4 linked regions of the Xenopus tropicalis genome follow. The protein of the gene in region 4 purifies or fractionates together with the protein of the main gene of each other region. This does not show direct contact. Links are inferred from orthologs where the notes say so. Each region holds a gene or a part of one and is shown on either strand. Other genes may lie near its edges.

Region 1 (3,567 bases), on a different chromosome or scaffold from region 4:
TAGAGAGCGTCCCAGGAGGAATGGAGATACTGATGGGAATATTGGATATATTTCAGTTAAAGTAAACAATAAATTACACAAGTAAGAATGCTTAAAACAAAAAAAGAACCTCTCAGGTATGACTTTGGGGCCCTCTTAAAGGAATACTTTCATGGAAAAACAAGTTTTTTCAAAATGCATCAGTTAAAAGAGCTTCTCCAGCAGAATCCTGCATTGAAATCCATTTTTCAAAAACAGTGTAAATATGTGTCCTTGATATCCAAGGGCATCAAGAGTTGGTTTGGTGCCTTGATGACTAAGCGCAGCTTCTCCTTTGTGAGATAATGGCTCAAGCCCTTGATAGGAAGGAGGGGGTGCTCCTTCCTAAAGAGATTGGAGTAAAGCCCACAGAACTGCTCCCGCTATGGTACCAGGACAACCCGTTTCAGTTACATTTTAGAAAGCGAGACTTTCCACATGACTTTAAACATGAAAAATCTCTGGGGAGAAGTTGCCGAGAACTCTAAGTGGCATCTCTTCAACCCATATAGAAGGCTAACACTGTAGGGTACAGCGAGTCCTGTCCCAGGTCAGTGCTGTGGGTCTTATGTAGACAAGACACTTAAATATGTCAAACAGGAAAGCTTATGGGTAAGGGTAGAGTATTCCTGGCCCATCCTCTTTTTTTCTGTCCTGCCTTCTGAAGGATGGACCTTAACCCAGTAGGTCCCCCACCCCCCTCACCACTTTGTTTTTACTTTTATACAGATCCATGAACAATATATCTGCCAACTGTTAAACATTGCTCTAATTAACACAGCTCTACAAACCCATCAACACACACCTGAAAGGTTGAGATCTGAAAGGATGACACCAGTTAGGAATCCATGCATATCAAACTGCACCCGTCCACTCTGAACACCTTCTGTGATCACAGACTTTACTGATCCAAGGGCCAGCATACAGGCCTCATGTATCTTCCACCTATGTAAAAGGGAAAGCAAGTAAAATTGGATTATTATTACACAGCTTGTATAAATAGACTATGTATGTACCAGACACACACTGTTCTTTTAAGTTTTCTCTGGATCTGATTATGCAGTCTTCCCGATAAATTGCCCATGTTATTGCTGGTATTTAGTGCTACACGTATCCTTGAAATAACTGGTTGCTGTCCAATATGTTAAAGCAACAGTAACACCCAAAAATTAAAGTGTATCAAAATGATTAATATATTATGTACTACTGTCCTGCACTGGTAAAAGTTGTGTGTTTGCTTCAGGAACACTACTATAGTTTATCTAAGCAAAATTGTTGTGTAATCATGGGAGCCGCCATTCAAATTGAAAAAAGGAGAATAGGCACAGGTTACATAGCAGATAACAGATACATTGCATAGATTCCCATTATATTCTACAAAGCTTTTCTGTTACCTGCTATGTAACCTTCAGGGCAATAGTATATAATATCTTGATTACTTTGGTACACTTTAATTGTTTGGTGTTCCTTTAAAGGAGAAAGAAAGGTAAAAACTAAGTAAGCTTTATCAGAAAGGTCTATGTAAATACAGCCATAAGCACTCACAGAAACGCTGCACTGACTTCTCTGAAAAGATTAGTTGTGTCTAATTCCTGTGCCAGATACACACAGCTTTCTGTTCTCTGCTCTTTCCTGCTCCCCCCTCCCTCAAGAATGCTAAGAACTCACTTTCCCCCTTAGGAATGTGGATCTGAGCCAATCAGCAGGAAGCTGACTCATAGTCTTACACACTGAGCATGTTCACTTGGTCTGGGTGTCTGTGCAGGTGTGAGGTATTATGGGAACTTTCTTTACACAGCTCAGCGTATTTTCTTCCTGTTTGGCTTCAGATTTTCTGAAAAGGTGAAATATGGGGAGACTTAAGGGCACTATTGAGACAACTGAAGGTATGCCTGCAGCTTGAGATTAACTCTTTACCAGCCTTTCCTTCTCCTTTAATAAAATGTTAAATGTTCCTTTAATAAAGGTCTACAAATGGAAATGTATTATTTTATTTAACAGAGGTCTTACATATTCCACAGGCCTATTTTCAAGTATTAATAAATCAATCACTTTTGGGGGTAAACGGTTTGCAAACATATAAACATTCATGGAAAATAATTTTCCATAAGCAAACCATTTGGACCTCAACCTTACTACAAATCTGAAAGTGTCTTGGGGAATGCCGTCAATTCTGTAGGGCAACAGCCAGCAAGAAACAGCCCATGTGTCCTTCCCATCTTTTTTTTTTGTAATTGTACTAAAATTGGATTGCAGCAGCTTGAGAAAGTGGCAGGGTTGGACTGGGGGTGCCGCCCCCTCAGGGGCTCTTGCAGGTCGCCTCACCCCCCTCCCGTACATAATGCATAGCACCGGAGCATCGGGGGAGAGCTATTAGCGCTCAAGGGAGGGAACTGGGTCTGAGCCAGCAGGGCCCCACTACGGCTTGGGGCCCAGTCCGACCCTGGACAGTGGAGCACCAGCAAATGGGTGGTGTGCTTTAGTTTCTTATCAGCTATGACAATGCCACAATGATGGCATAATGTCATGGGAAAACATTTTTGTTTTGTTTTGTTTTGTTTTTTAAAAACACATCAGTTAATAGAGCATCTCCAGCATTTAATTTTGAAATTTCACATGGGGCTAGCCATATTGTTCATTTCCCAGGGTGCCACAGCCATGTGACTTATACTCTGATAAACTTCAGTCCTACTTTACTGCAAGCTGGAGTGATATCGGCAATTCGGGGAGATTAGTCGTCCGCGAATTTGTCGCGGGCGACTAATCTCCCCGTGTGCCAGAGCCCTTAAAGTGGTAGATATCAGAATAGCACTCAATAGTAAAAAAATCCAAGCCTGACTTGGAACTCCACCAGTTACATGGAGTAGGAGAAACAAGAACAACATTTTAAATGGCACAGTGAATTATTTTCTATGTAAACAGTGTAATTTTGAAATAAAAAGTACACCATAAAAATCATGACAGAATCCCTTTAACAACCAGGGGCGTTTGTTACCAAGCAGGAAGATCCTGGAGAGGACAAAGCGCCACAATCTATCATCCAGATCTAAATATAGAGTTTTTACCCAACTATCTAAATCTGGCCATACACGTGGCGATCTGACGATGTTTCGTACGACCATCGGTCGCACGAAACATCGTAAGATCCGCCACACACCATTCAGGGCTGAATCGGCAGGTAAGGAGGTAGAAACAATAGGATTTCTACCTCCTTCTGCCGATTCAGCTCTGAAGGGAGAATTTGTCAGGCGCCTTCTAACCTTGTTTCGTACGATAATATCGGTGCGTGTATGGCCACCTTAACCCACACAAATGTCCTATCAGAGTTTTTGACCATTTTTTAAAGTCAAACCCAGACAGAAATAGACTGGATAATGATCAGACACAGTCTGGGTGTAGTTGCATTTGTAGCCTCATGTGTGGCTTGTGCACCATTCTGTTATTTCCCTGGATCCTCAAAAGGATCAAGAGAAAATGTACAATTAGACTTACACTGACCCAGGTAAATACGGTTTGCTGACGGCTTGTGTCAACAACACTCTAAGGAAT
Region 2 (3,567 bases), about 50 Mb from region 4:
GTGATGCTACACGAGCATAACATCGATACAAGTGTGCGGACCAAGCCAAAGCTGGGAAGCTGTTGTTAATGTCCCAACATGGCCACCTGCACCAGGAGATCCCGGTGGGTGACTAAGCATTTAGTGGGGTCAGGGGAACATTTTTTGTATGGTAGGTGGCCTTTAATGTTTAATGGATGCTTGTAGGTTTTTCTTCACATTTCTGAATGTGCTGATTTTAGCCTTGAAAAATGCACAGGAAAAGGTCAGAGTGACTCCACAGTCCTTAGCAGATGGTCAGGACTGCAGATCAAGGCCATGCTGCTTTAGGGCCATGATTATTTTAGAGACCCTCCAGCCCCCTGAGGAAGATTAAACCTTTTAGGGTGCCCAAATGCCTTCCCGCTTCATGGAGGTCTGCAGGCAAGTTTTCCCCTGTCTGATGCTTCATTTTTCTCTCTCGGAGAGGTCTGCACCTGTCTAATATGCAGGTTATGCATTGGCTGGGGCAACACTACGGCTGGCAGGTAGGTGAACAGTCCTTTCCAGCTCATTCTACTCGAGCCATCAGCACCCAGGGGTCTGCTAAGCAGATTTACAAAACAGTTACCTGGTTTTTCTTACACTTGCTTTCTTCTCTACAAGGTTTACATACAGTCCCTAGATCAAGCTAGCTTTGGGATGTGGGTATTACAGGCAGTGTTTTCTGAATGTTTCAGGGGAAACATCATGGGTTGCTTCGGCATGTCCCCATGGTGCCTGTTTCCCCCAGTGTAGGCAAGAGAAAGATTAAAGAAATTGTCATGATTTTTATGGTATACTTTTTATTTCTAAATTACACTTTTTACATAGTAAATAATTCTACCGTTTAAAATATTATTCTTGAACCAACAAATGTATTTTTTTTTGTTTTTTAGCTGTAATATTGGTGTGTAGGCAGCCATCTCAGGGCATTGTGCTGAGCTTTCAGAAGGAGCCAGCGCTACATATTAGAACTGCTTTCAGATAACCTATTGTTTCTCCTACTCCCATGTATCTGGAGGAGTCCCAAGCCGGACTTGGGTTTCCTACTATTGAGTGCTATTCTGATATCTACTGGGAGCTGCTATCTTGCTACCTTCCCATTGTTCTGCTAACTGTGTTCTGCCCCATGTGAAATTTTAAAATTAAATATAAAAAATCTGTTTGTGCTTTAAAAAAAACTATTTCAATGCAGGATTCTGCTGGAGAAGCTCTATTAACTGATGCGTTTTGAAAAAAACATGTTTTCCCATGACAGTATTCCGTTAAGTAGTTTACTTGCTGAAAAGCCAGATAAGGGGCTTCTTTTCTGTTTTAAAAAAAAAAATTAAAGGGGAGAATATGCTACGTGCCAATTGGTTGTACCAGGAAATAAATGCCTAGAAAATCATACAGATACTAAAGTTGGTGATCTAGAAAACATTTAACAGCCTTATAAGAGTGAATCAAATTAAGTTGATGGATTTTAAGGTGTTTCTACTTTAATTTACATTTGAAAACTTCTGCATTCTCTTCAGTATTTAGACTGCTTGTGGGCACAAATACAGAAGTTAAAAAAGGACCGTTGGCAAGAAAGACACATCCTACGTCCATACCTAGCCTTTGACAGCGTTTTGTGTGAAGCTCTGCAGCACAATCTTCCACCATTTACACCACCACCTCATACTGAAGATTCTGTGTACCCAGTGCCAAGAGTTGTTTTCAGGATGTTTGACTACACAGATGCACCTGAGGTAAAGAATAACGAGCGCAATCTTATAAAGCTTTGAGCTTTATGGACATCAGAGGAATGTGTTCAGATGGGTTGAATAGTTCCTGTGTCTAACAGGGCATCAGCTAGTTTCGACCTTTCATATGTTTTTGAACTACAACTACTAGAGAGTTTGGATGCAATTTCATATAAATGTTCCCATTTTTTTTTACTTCATGTAATGTTTATACAAGTTAATTTGTCAGTCCTAAGTTATTTGTGTAAACTATTCTTAATGCAGACATACTAACTGAATTATGCATATGAGGCCAAATTTATTTAGAGGTTCGGCGTTTCAGTGAAAATAAATGCACTTCGTGCAATCTCTTTTATAACTTACATTGGATATGAGGATATGAATAGATTGTGTGGACATGAGGGAATATATCCCGGCATAGTTGGGAAAATTATTAGAATTGTTCCTGTATGGCTGCTGCCCAAGTGATGTCTGCAGGGTCCATCACTCAGTTTAAATAATGTTCTGGCCCTCTTCCACACTGAGTTTTCAACCAAATTTGAAATTTATTTAGTGGACTATTTTGAATTGTGTATTAAAATCCCTATTTTATTTTTTTGTTACCCACAGGAATTTTACAATATTTATATTCTTGCAGGGTCCAGTCATGCCTGGAAGCCATTCTGTAGAGCGCTTTGTTATAGAAGAAAATCTGCATTGCATACTTAGATCACATTGGCGTGAAAGGAAAACATGGTATGACTTTTTTTCTTTTTTTTCTGTTTAATTCTGAAGTTGGCCACCTAGTGTTCTATATTTATTAGATTTAATAGATTTTTCTCTTTAATACTTTTTTTGTGCGCCCCAGGCTTATAATTGCTGATTTAGTGAAGGAAAGTTACAATCACTAGGGGGGGGGGGTTTAATCCCTTACCTCAGTGCTGTCCAACTTCTGTTGTACCGAGGGCCGGAATTTTTCCGACCTATGTGGTGGAGGGCCGATAATGGAAGCCAGTTTTGACCACTCCCCTTTTTGAAACCGCACCCACTTGAAACCACACCCATGTTATCACATGACCATACCCATATTAATGGTTATAGTACAGCAAAAACCTGCCATACTCTGCCTGCCCTACCCTGCCTGTGTGTGCCATACTCTGCCTTCCCTACCCTGCCTGTGTGTGCCATACTCTGCCTTCCCTACCCTGCCATACTTTCACTGTGTTTACCATTCTTGGCTGGTTTGTGCCATACTTGGCCTGTGTGTGCCATACTCTGCCTGTGTGTGCCATACTCTGCTTGCCCTATGATGCCTGTGTGTATGGCACACACAGGCAGCCTACAGTGACACAATGCTGGCACTGCTCCTACAGTCTGCACAATAACTATATATTAAAAAACTTTTTAATTGAAGTACCACCTCAGTATATGTTCTTTTTGTAGTGTGCAGGGATTATTTGTGGGTTTCTACTGCTCCTGAGGTGTGAACAGGGGAACAATGGGGGTGATTACAGCCTGAGCCTGAGGTGTGAACACTGCAGGGGGTGAACAATGCAGAGATTAAAAGGTGTGAACAACACAGGGGATTACATGTTTAAACAATACAGCCTGATTACAGCCTGAATCTGAGGTGAGAACCATGCTGGGGGGGCAGTTAATCTCAGTACTGATACCATTTAAAGGTTACACAAAGGTAAGCCATCAAAGCAGCCAGACAGGTGGGGGGCCACACAGAGGGCCGCCAGTTGGACAGCACTGCCTTACCTGATACTTGGGCTGGTGCTTCTGTTATCAGAGAACTGCAAGCGGGGTTCCAGCGACCAAGCAATCCTTTTTCACTCGTCTATCTTCAGAATCCTAC
Region 3 (3,567 bases), on a different chromosome or scaffold from region 4:
TTTTCCTTTCCTGACTGCCAATAACACTTTCCCTTTGTCCTTGCCTAAACAAAAGCAAGGGACTGGTTCTCATCTAATGGGATTTATGGCCTATGATGTTTGGCCTTTGTTTTCCAAAAATAAATTTAATTTACCTATATTTTGTATTCTGTGGAACACTCATAAATCTGATACCTGTTGGTATGACACGGAAACCTCCTGCATGGTTCTCTAAAGTCCAAGTGTCTCCTTTTTAAATGTATTTCTACCTAGGCCTAAATAATGCATTACATTAGGATATGCAGTACTGTGTATATTCTATAATTCACAGTATCCCCTGTGTTTCTGCAGCAGTCGGCTCCTTCCAGCGGGGGCCTATTTGGAGCAGGAAGCAGTGGAGCGGGTACCGGAGGGTTATTCAGCGGCCTCGGAGCAAAACCCAGCCAGGAAGCTGCCAACAAGAATCCTTTTGGTTCCCCGGGTTCCTCTACTTTTGGTGCAGCCAATGCATCCAGTAAGTGCCACTTGTTCCAGCTGAAGCCGCCCATACCTGCAAACATACAGCCTATTAATAAAAGCTTTATAGGGGTAAGGGCTTGTGAGGTTATTATAGGGACAATAGCTGAAGTAGGTCACATGGTGATTCTGCTGTCAGGCTATTGGATCTCCTTGATGAATGTAGCAGATAGTGGTTCTGGCTGCTCTTGAACTCCCTGTGGGTAGCAGTGTCTGAGGAGCTGGGAGACACTCTCTGCATTGCAGATGTCTGGAAAAATTACTGCCTCGCTGACTTCCAAAGGGTTTCTTCCTGCATTTAAAGGGATAGGTCACCTGTACAACCCAAACTTATTATATACAGGTATAAATTGGCTTATTCTTAGCAACTTTTTTAGGTTTTTTTTTTTATAGTTTTTGAATGATTTGCTTTCTCCTACTGCTGCTTTCCAGACCCCAGCAGCCAAAGTCTATGGTTCTGTAAAGCTACAGTTTTATTACTTTACTGTTTATCCATAGCAACCAGCCGGCAAATTTCAATGGACTAGTGCTGTTAGAGACAAGATCCATAACCTATTTTAGTTGTGAGCCAATTAAGTGTTGGTGAGCCACACAAGCATGTGTTTGGGGTTCCAAATAAAGATTGTGATTGGCTATTCGATAGCCCCATATGGACTGCTAGCCTACAGGAGGCTCTGCTTGAACTAAAACGGAGTCTAGGCCAAAAATGTAAAAATAGACGCCTACTTCGAGGCTGCTGGGAGCAATATCAAAGGCAAATGGTGAGAGTACTAAATCTGACCAGTTTGGATGTTGTGGTGTGCTTTAGAAGTGATGCCCTGATCACCCTATTAATTGCAGATGCCAGCAACCTGTTTGGCAACAGTGGAGCCAAGTCTTTTGGGTTTGGCGGCACATCGTTTGGGGAGAAACCCTCGGGAACATTCAGCGCAGGTGGCAGTGTGGCCTCCCAGGGATTCGGCTTCCCCAGCCCCACTAAGACAGGTATTGTACATATGGTACATGTTGCATTGCAGTCTGGTCATGTGCTCCCAGAACATTCCTTCTCTGTATATTTGTATTTATACATATGGGAGGGAGGTGCCATAGTGTTTCCCTTAGACAGTACAGTATGGGGGTACAGCTTATTGTGTGCCCAGAACATTCCTTCTCTGTATATTTGTATTTATACATATGGGAGGGAGGTGCCATAATGTTTCCCTTAGACAGTACAGTATGGGGGTACAGCTTATTGTGTGCCCAGAACATTCCTTCTTTGTATATTTGTATTTATACATATGGGAGGGAGGTGCCATAGTGTTTCCCTTAGACAGTACAGTATGGGGGTACAGCTTATTGTGTGCCCAGAACATTCCTTCTCTGTATATTTGTATTTATACATATGGGAGGGAGGTGCCATAGTGTTTCCCTTAGACAGTACAGTATGAGGGTACAGCTTATTGTGTGCCCAGAACATTCCTTCTCTGTATATTTGTATTTATACATATGGGAGGGAGGTGCCATAGTGTTTCCCTTAGACAGTACAGTATGGGGGTACAGCTTATTGTATGCCCAGAACATTCCTTCTCTGTATATTTGTATTTAAACATATGGGAGGGAGGTGCCATAGTGTTTGCCTTAGACAGTACAGTATGAGGGTACAGCTTATTGTGTGCCCAGAACGTTCCTTCTCTGTATATTTGTATTTATACATATGGGAGGGAGGTGCCATAGTGTTTCCCTTAGACAGTACAGTACGGGGGTACAGCTTATTGTGTGCCCAGAACATTCCTTCTCTGTATATTTGTATTTATACATATGGGAGGGAGGTGCCATAGTGTTTCCCTTAGACAGTACAGTATGAGGGTACAGCTTATTGTGTGCCCAGAACATTCCTTCTCTGTATATTTGTATTTATACATATGGGAGGGAGGTGCCATAGTGTTTCCCTTAGACAGTACAGTATGGGGGTACAGCTTATTGTGTGCCCAGAACATTCCTTCTCTGTATATTTGTATTTATACATATGGGAGGGAGGTGCCATAGTGTTTCCCTTAGACAGTACAGTATGGGGGTACAGCTTATTGTGTGCCCAGAACATTCCTTCTCTGTATATTTGTATTTATACATATGGGAGGGAGGTGCCATAGTGTTTCCCTTAGACAGTACAGTATGAGGGTACAGCTTATTGTGTGCCCAGAACATTCCTTCTCTGTATATTTGTATTTATACATATGGGAGGGAGGTGCCATAGTGTTTCCCTTAGACAGTACAGTATGAGGGTACAGCTTATTGTGTGCCCAGAACATTCCTTCTCTGTATATTTGTATTTATACATATGGGAGGGAGGTGCCATAGTGTTTCCCTTAGACAGTACAGTATGAGGGTACAGCTTATTGTGTGCACTTACAGACACCATTACTAGGCAATTGGTCCTATAATGGGGTTAAAACCCTTACACTACTAAGTCCTGGCACGGCGGTGCTGGTGATTGATTCAGGCCTAGGCAGAACATGTCACCAATAATTGGATTGAGGGATGTGGCTTTGCACAAACACCGCTCTGGGGTCAGGCCCAAACGAAGGCCTTATCCTTCCCATAGTAACCACACATTAATTTGTAGCCGAGGAAATGTCTGAGCGTGTCCTTCCTGTGCCCTGTAACTAAGGCTAGCTCTCTGCTGCTAGAGAATGTACATTTATTCCCAGTACTCGGCTCGTGCTGAGGAAGCAATGGGGACTCCATGTATTACTCCCTTCCCTGTCTCTTAGCTCCGCCCTCATACAGCCGGGCTTCCCCCTGGCCTTCGTTATAAGCGGATCATTAATAAACATGCCGTAACCAAATCTCCAAACCACTTCAATCAATAATTCAAGGGCAACTTTTCTTTTTTTTAATTTTGGGGTATGGAGCAGGGAGGCTACACCTTTCACTGTTTTACTGGCCTGCAATATGTTATCCCATGCAGAGCTAATAGTCTTACTGTGTATTAGTAAGCACTGGCGGGAATAGCCTGTCGGCATTGGCAACTGGTTATTAGTCTGGCACTTACACATACAGGTATAGGACCCGTTATACAGAATGCCCAGGACC
Region 4 (4,198 bases):
AATTTTAACGATATTATTGTGATCAGTATGAAAAGTTATAAACATTAGAAAAAATATACATAATTTTTGCAATTGTGGTCATCATGCTTTGATAAATGTGCCTCTTGGTGTTGATATTTGCAGTAACTAAAATAAGAGCAATGATAAATCACATGGGGTATTTAATTTTGGGGCCCCTATATGCCACATACTTTGGTAAACTTACTCACATTGGACATCAAACTGTTTAGCAGAGCCCTGGGGGCACATTTACTAATCCACGAACGTCCGAAAAGTGTCCGAAGGCGTTTTTTTCGTAATGATCGGTATTTTGCGACTTTTTCGCGAATTGTCATAAGATGCTACAAAGTGGAAGCTTTAAAGTGATTTTCCAAAATGTAATAAAAACCACCAAATTCAGGAAGGGTTTGTGGTTTGGAGTAGAAAGACATATTCATTTGGATTTGGGAGAATGTGTTAATATTAAGTAGAGCCCTGATGTTCATATTTGGGGTGTTTTATATTGATACCTCATGTAGGAAATAAGATGCTCAAATGGGAAAGGTTTAGTGCAAATTTTTCAAAATTCCAGAAATTGTTATAAAAATCCCTAACTTAAGGAAAGGATTGCAGTTGGCTAGTTTAGAGTATTGAGAGATATTCATGGCTTTTGGATTTGCCATAATGTATTCTTTAAAAATATGTATGGTTTGTTTGGGTACTTTGTTACTGTGTTGCTGATATTTTGGCCCATACAAGTCAAACAATTCTATGAAACTATACAAATCTTGTGTTGACAGTCAGTAGATACAGGGCATTCCAAATCAGTTGTATCTTCAGGCATAAAATGAATTTTTTCTGATATACAGTATGTCTGTATTATGTAAAATGTAATTATTAGCTTATATCGTGTTGCTAAATTGAATTAAAAAAAAGCATATATTGTTTTTGAGGGTTTAAAGTGTTCACCTTCAACAGCAAAACGTTATTAACGCATAAAGCATGGTCTCGGAGTATCTAGTAGAATTAAGTCTAAAACAACTGGACTTTTTCTGAGTTTTCTTGAAATGTTTCACCACTAATCCGAGTGGCTTCTTCAGTTCAAATGACTGGTAGGGAATTCCCCGGTATTTAAACTCTTGATGGTAGTAGAGTCACAGAGTCGGAGCTTATGCCATTTTTCCCTTTGTGTTCCTCAGTGCAACCCACTTCTATCAGTTGACATACGTAAAAACGTAAAACAATGTGCCATTTGTACATGACACGCTGCAGATAGCCCTTTGTTAGTGCTGCGCCAGAAGAGGCGCGCTACACGGAGCCCTTACGTAAGTCCTTTCATTCAAACCTTCCCGCCTATAGGCCTTTCCCCGCACTCCCGCCCGCCGCATTGCTGCTGCTTGCACTGCCCGCACTGACGTCATCGCCTCCCACGTCACCGCCCCTCCCAGAGCGCGCCCTGCTATTTGAATCCCGCTTCCGCCATTTTCTCTCGCTGCTTTACAGACGCTTCTGGAAGGTGAGATTCTAACCCGTGGGAGATATAGGCTGGGCCCTGCCGCATAATCCGCCCGACATCTCGGCCATCCCTATTCGCAAAGCGTCCCGAAGCTCTTGTAGCACTCGCTGGTTAATCGTGCGGCCGGGCACGGTAGATTTGAGAGGGATTCTAGTCGGTAAGGGAAAAGCGGGGCTGAGAGCCTGATGAGAGGCGGGGGGAGTTATATGTTGGCGCGCTTTTTTTCCTCCATGGCGCTACATTCTTTATGGGACTTCACTGCTAGTTCCTTATGTAATTTGCTGGGATGTTCTGTTAGCAGAGGCTACACGTATTCTGCTAATTATCAGTGGGCGAGTTCTCTCGTTTGTGTGGCCTCTTCTTTTTATTTCGCCGGTGACTAGACAGTATCAGGCGCGATAAACATGACTTGTACTAGGCCGAGTCCCATGAAGTGCCATGTAGGCCGGGTTTATACATACTCAATATTGTGGCTGTTAAGTAAAGGCAGACTAGTTAAAACCTATGTAGTTTGCGGGGAAACCGGGAAGCAGGCCGTCGCAGGAAGCGCGTCCCCGCCATTAGCGCTCATTCACCCCGGAACCTCATGTGTCACTGAGGCGCGACGCTAGCATCCCCGGCCTTGTTCTATTAACCGCACCGCCCTGCTCTCCTAGGCCTGCTAGCTTGCGGGAAGGTACCACTTAGCTGGGGTGGAGGGGTGGCCGATAGATTATGTATTGGCCGGAGCTTGCTAGTTGAGACAAACATTTATGGGTCAGCCGATAGTTAGCACGGAGAATGGATTTTTTTTAATCCACTAATCCTGGTCCCAGTGACTAATTGTCATGTGGGACCCAACTTTGTCAGGCGTGAAATTGGCATTGTTCTGTCACGTAACCAAAATGGCATTGGCAGCGATGGGCAGTTGTTTCCACAAGCTTTAGTGGGTGGGTTGGCCTGCGTGCTATTCCGCCTGCTGGTACCTGCGCTGAGCCAATGCGCTGCAGCTATTCCTCACACGTGGGCCTCTAACTTCTGGCACACAAAGTTTTACTTAAACGGAAACTCCAACCCAAAGCTCTATTTTTACAAAGAAAACAACATTTAATTAGAAGCTACTTTTCTTATATACTTACACACTTTTTTGTGATATTGGCAGATGCAAGCTGATTAAGGCTAATTGCACATCCTGTGGGGTTTTTTGTACTGTTGCTATGCAGTGATGTTGGCAGTAACTTCCTGTTGCTCTGTTTATAGGCAGATGTTGGCACAAGTGTACATATAAATGGCTGGTATTGATAACACTACACATGGGCCAGTATCTTTTTCCCTCTGTTGAAGAAACTCTGCTTTTGTCCTTAGCCTAACAGGCCTGACAGAAACTGACATTTTTGTTTGAGCCAGAGGTAGAGAGCAGAAAGGGATGAAAACTGGATCTAAGCTTTGTGTATTTGAAAAGTCTTTGGTTTTAGATACCTTTTAAGCAAATACAGGCATCCAGGTTGTTGGGCATACCAAACCAATGCTTTAATACACAAGATAAGTGTCTTAAAGGACAGTGAAAAGAGAAAGGATTGGGGGTGCCAATTTGTTGGCAATTGCAGTCACGGGGGGTTAACTCTAAATCCCAGGTCAGTTCTTTCTGACCGCTTAGTAGTACCAGAACCATGCCACTGTGTTCTATAATGTTTCAGCAGTCTTTTTGGGTCCAACCGCAGTTGATGTGTGCAATCCTGATGACCACAAGGCACCTGGGACATTTCAGAAGATGGCATCACAGCTCTGGCAGAACTGTGTGTGTTTTTAGCTGGTAGCTCCGCCCCACATTTTTATAAGCCATCAAGCTTTGCTCCAGCCTCTATGCTTTGTCGCTCTTAAGCCCAAATTGTGATGGTGGTTTCCAGCTCTGGCTGCTTGTTTGGCGCCATGTAATGCACTATGTTGTGAGCTTTTGGTTTACAGCAGCTTCAGAAAGTGGTTCATTTTGTGTTATTACCCATACATGTATTTCCCTGCTCTGCTGGCGAGAAATGTTGTTTGAGAACACGTGACTGTCTTTGATTTCCCATGGGTCAGTTGGGTAGTTGTTCAGGTTCATGGGAAAACGTTAAAGGTCTATTAGAATGACTTTACTGCACCCATATATGTAATTGAATGTCCAATGGCCTTAACGCTTTGTATGGTGTAAAGATATGTACTGTGTAAGGCAGTTGATCAGTTTATAAAGTATATTTTTTTTAATTTGTGTGCACTCAACTGGAACATTAGGAATCACTGGGGGCATGTCTTGCCAACTGGCACCCAATGACTTTAATCACTAACCTATCTCATTAGTGCTCATTTACAAAAAATAAAAATGCATGATGTAATTCTGACCCCCACTCCATCTTTTTTTCTGCTTTTTGTGGTGTCACAGGGAATGTTTAGGAAGGTAAAGTAAGGCATGCTGGTGCATTATTTTTTTTTTTTAGAGGAAGGCCACTAGCCCATGATAGATTAGAACCATTGGTGAGTTCTAGCAAATGTACACCCTCCCATGATTTTTACCTTTTTAACCACTGAGTCATTCAAGAATTCCTAGTAAACAGTGTAAGATGAAACCTACAGTATCAACTATTTTCTCTTTACACAATGCTCCTTTAACATTCATGAATAAGAGGTGTAAAAGTGAGGGAGGATCAAGTGATGTGGGCTGACTATGCTAAAGCTGAATGTTCTGGG

The links.
Region 1: the proteins of ran (region 4) and ipo9 purify together in Homo sapiens (affinity purification with mass spectrometry; 3 studies listed by BioGRID and IntAct, with this or other methods). This does not show direct contact. The link is inferred for Xenopus tropicalis from reciprocal best matches to the Homo sapiens genes RAN and IPO9.
Region 2: the proteins of ran (region 4) and ncbp1 purify together in Homo sapiens (co-immunoprecipitation; 3 studies listed by BioGRID and IntAct, with this or other methods). This does not show direct contact. The link is inferred for Xenopus tropicalis from reciprocal best matches to the Homo sapiens genes RAN and NCBP1.
Region 3: the proteins of ran (region 4) and nup214 purify together in Homo sapiens (affinity purification with mass spectrometry; 3 studies listed by BioGRID and IntAct, counting the BioPlex papers as one, with this or other methods). This does not show direct contact. The link is inferred for Xenopus tropicalis from reciprocal best matches to the Homo sapiens genes RAN and NUP214.

What each region holds. Positions count from the first base shown.
Region 1 is NC_030678.2:75,002,277-75,005,843, forward strand, and holds part of ipo9 (importin-9), read right to left. Parts: intron 964-3,567; coding exon 824-963; intron 30-823; coding exon 1-29. UniProt on the Homo sapiens protein: Nuclear transport receptor that mediates nuclear import of proteins, such as histones, proteasome and actin. Serves as receptor for nuclear localization signals (NLS) in cargo substrates.
Region 2 is NC_030677.2:107,423,918-107,427,484, forward strand, and holds part of ncbp1 (nuclear cap-binding protein subunit 1), read left to right. Parts: intron 1-1,517; coding exon 1,518-1,733; intron 1,734-2,364; coding exon 2,365-2,462; intron 2,463-3,567. UniProt on the Homo sapiens protein: Component of the cap-binding complex (CBC), which binds cotranscriptionally to the 5'-cap of pre-mRNAs and is involved in various processes such as pre-mRNA splicing, translation regulation, nonsense-mediated mRNA decay, RNA-mediated gene silencing (RNAi) by microRNAs (miRNAs) and mRNA export.
Region 3 is NC_030684.2:12,371,307-12,374,873, reverse strand, and holds part of nup214 (nuclear pore complex protein Nup214), read left to right. Parts: intron 1-330; coding exon 331-493; intron 494-1,335; coding exon 1,336-1,479; intron 1,480-3,567. UniProt on the Homo sapiens protein: Part of the nuclear pore complex. Has a critical role in nucleocytoplasmic transport.
Region 4 is NC_030677.2:157,743,343-157,747,540, reverse strand, and holds the start of ran (GTP-binding nuclear protein Ran), read left to right. Parts: upstream 1-1,339; 5' UTR 1,340-1,495; exon of another isoform or gene 1,496-1,652; intron 1,653-2,040; exon of another isoform or gene 2,041-2,171; intron 2,172-4,198. UniProt on the Homo sapiens protein: GTPase involved in nucleocytoplasmic transport, participating both to the import and the export from the nucleus of proteins and RNAs. Switches between a cytoplasmic GDP- and a nuclear GTP-bound state by nucleotide exchange and GTP hydrolysis.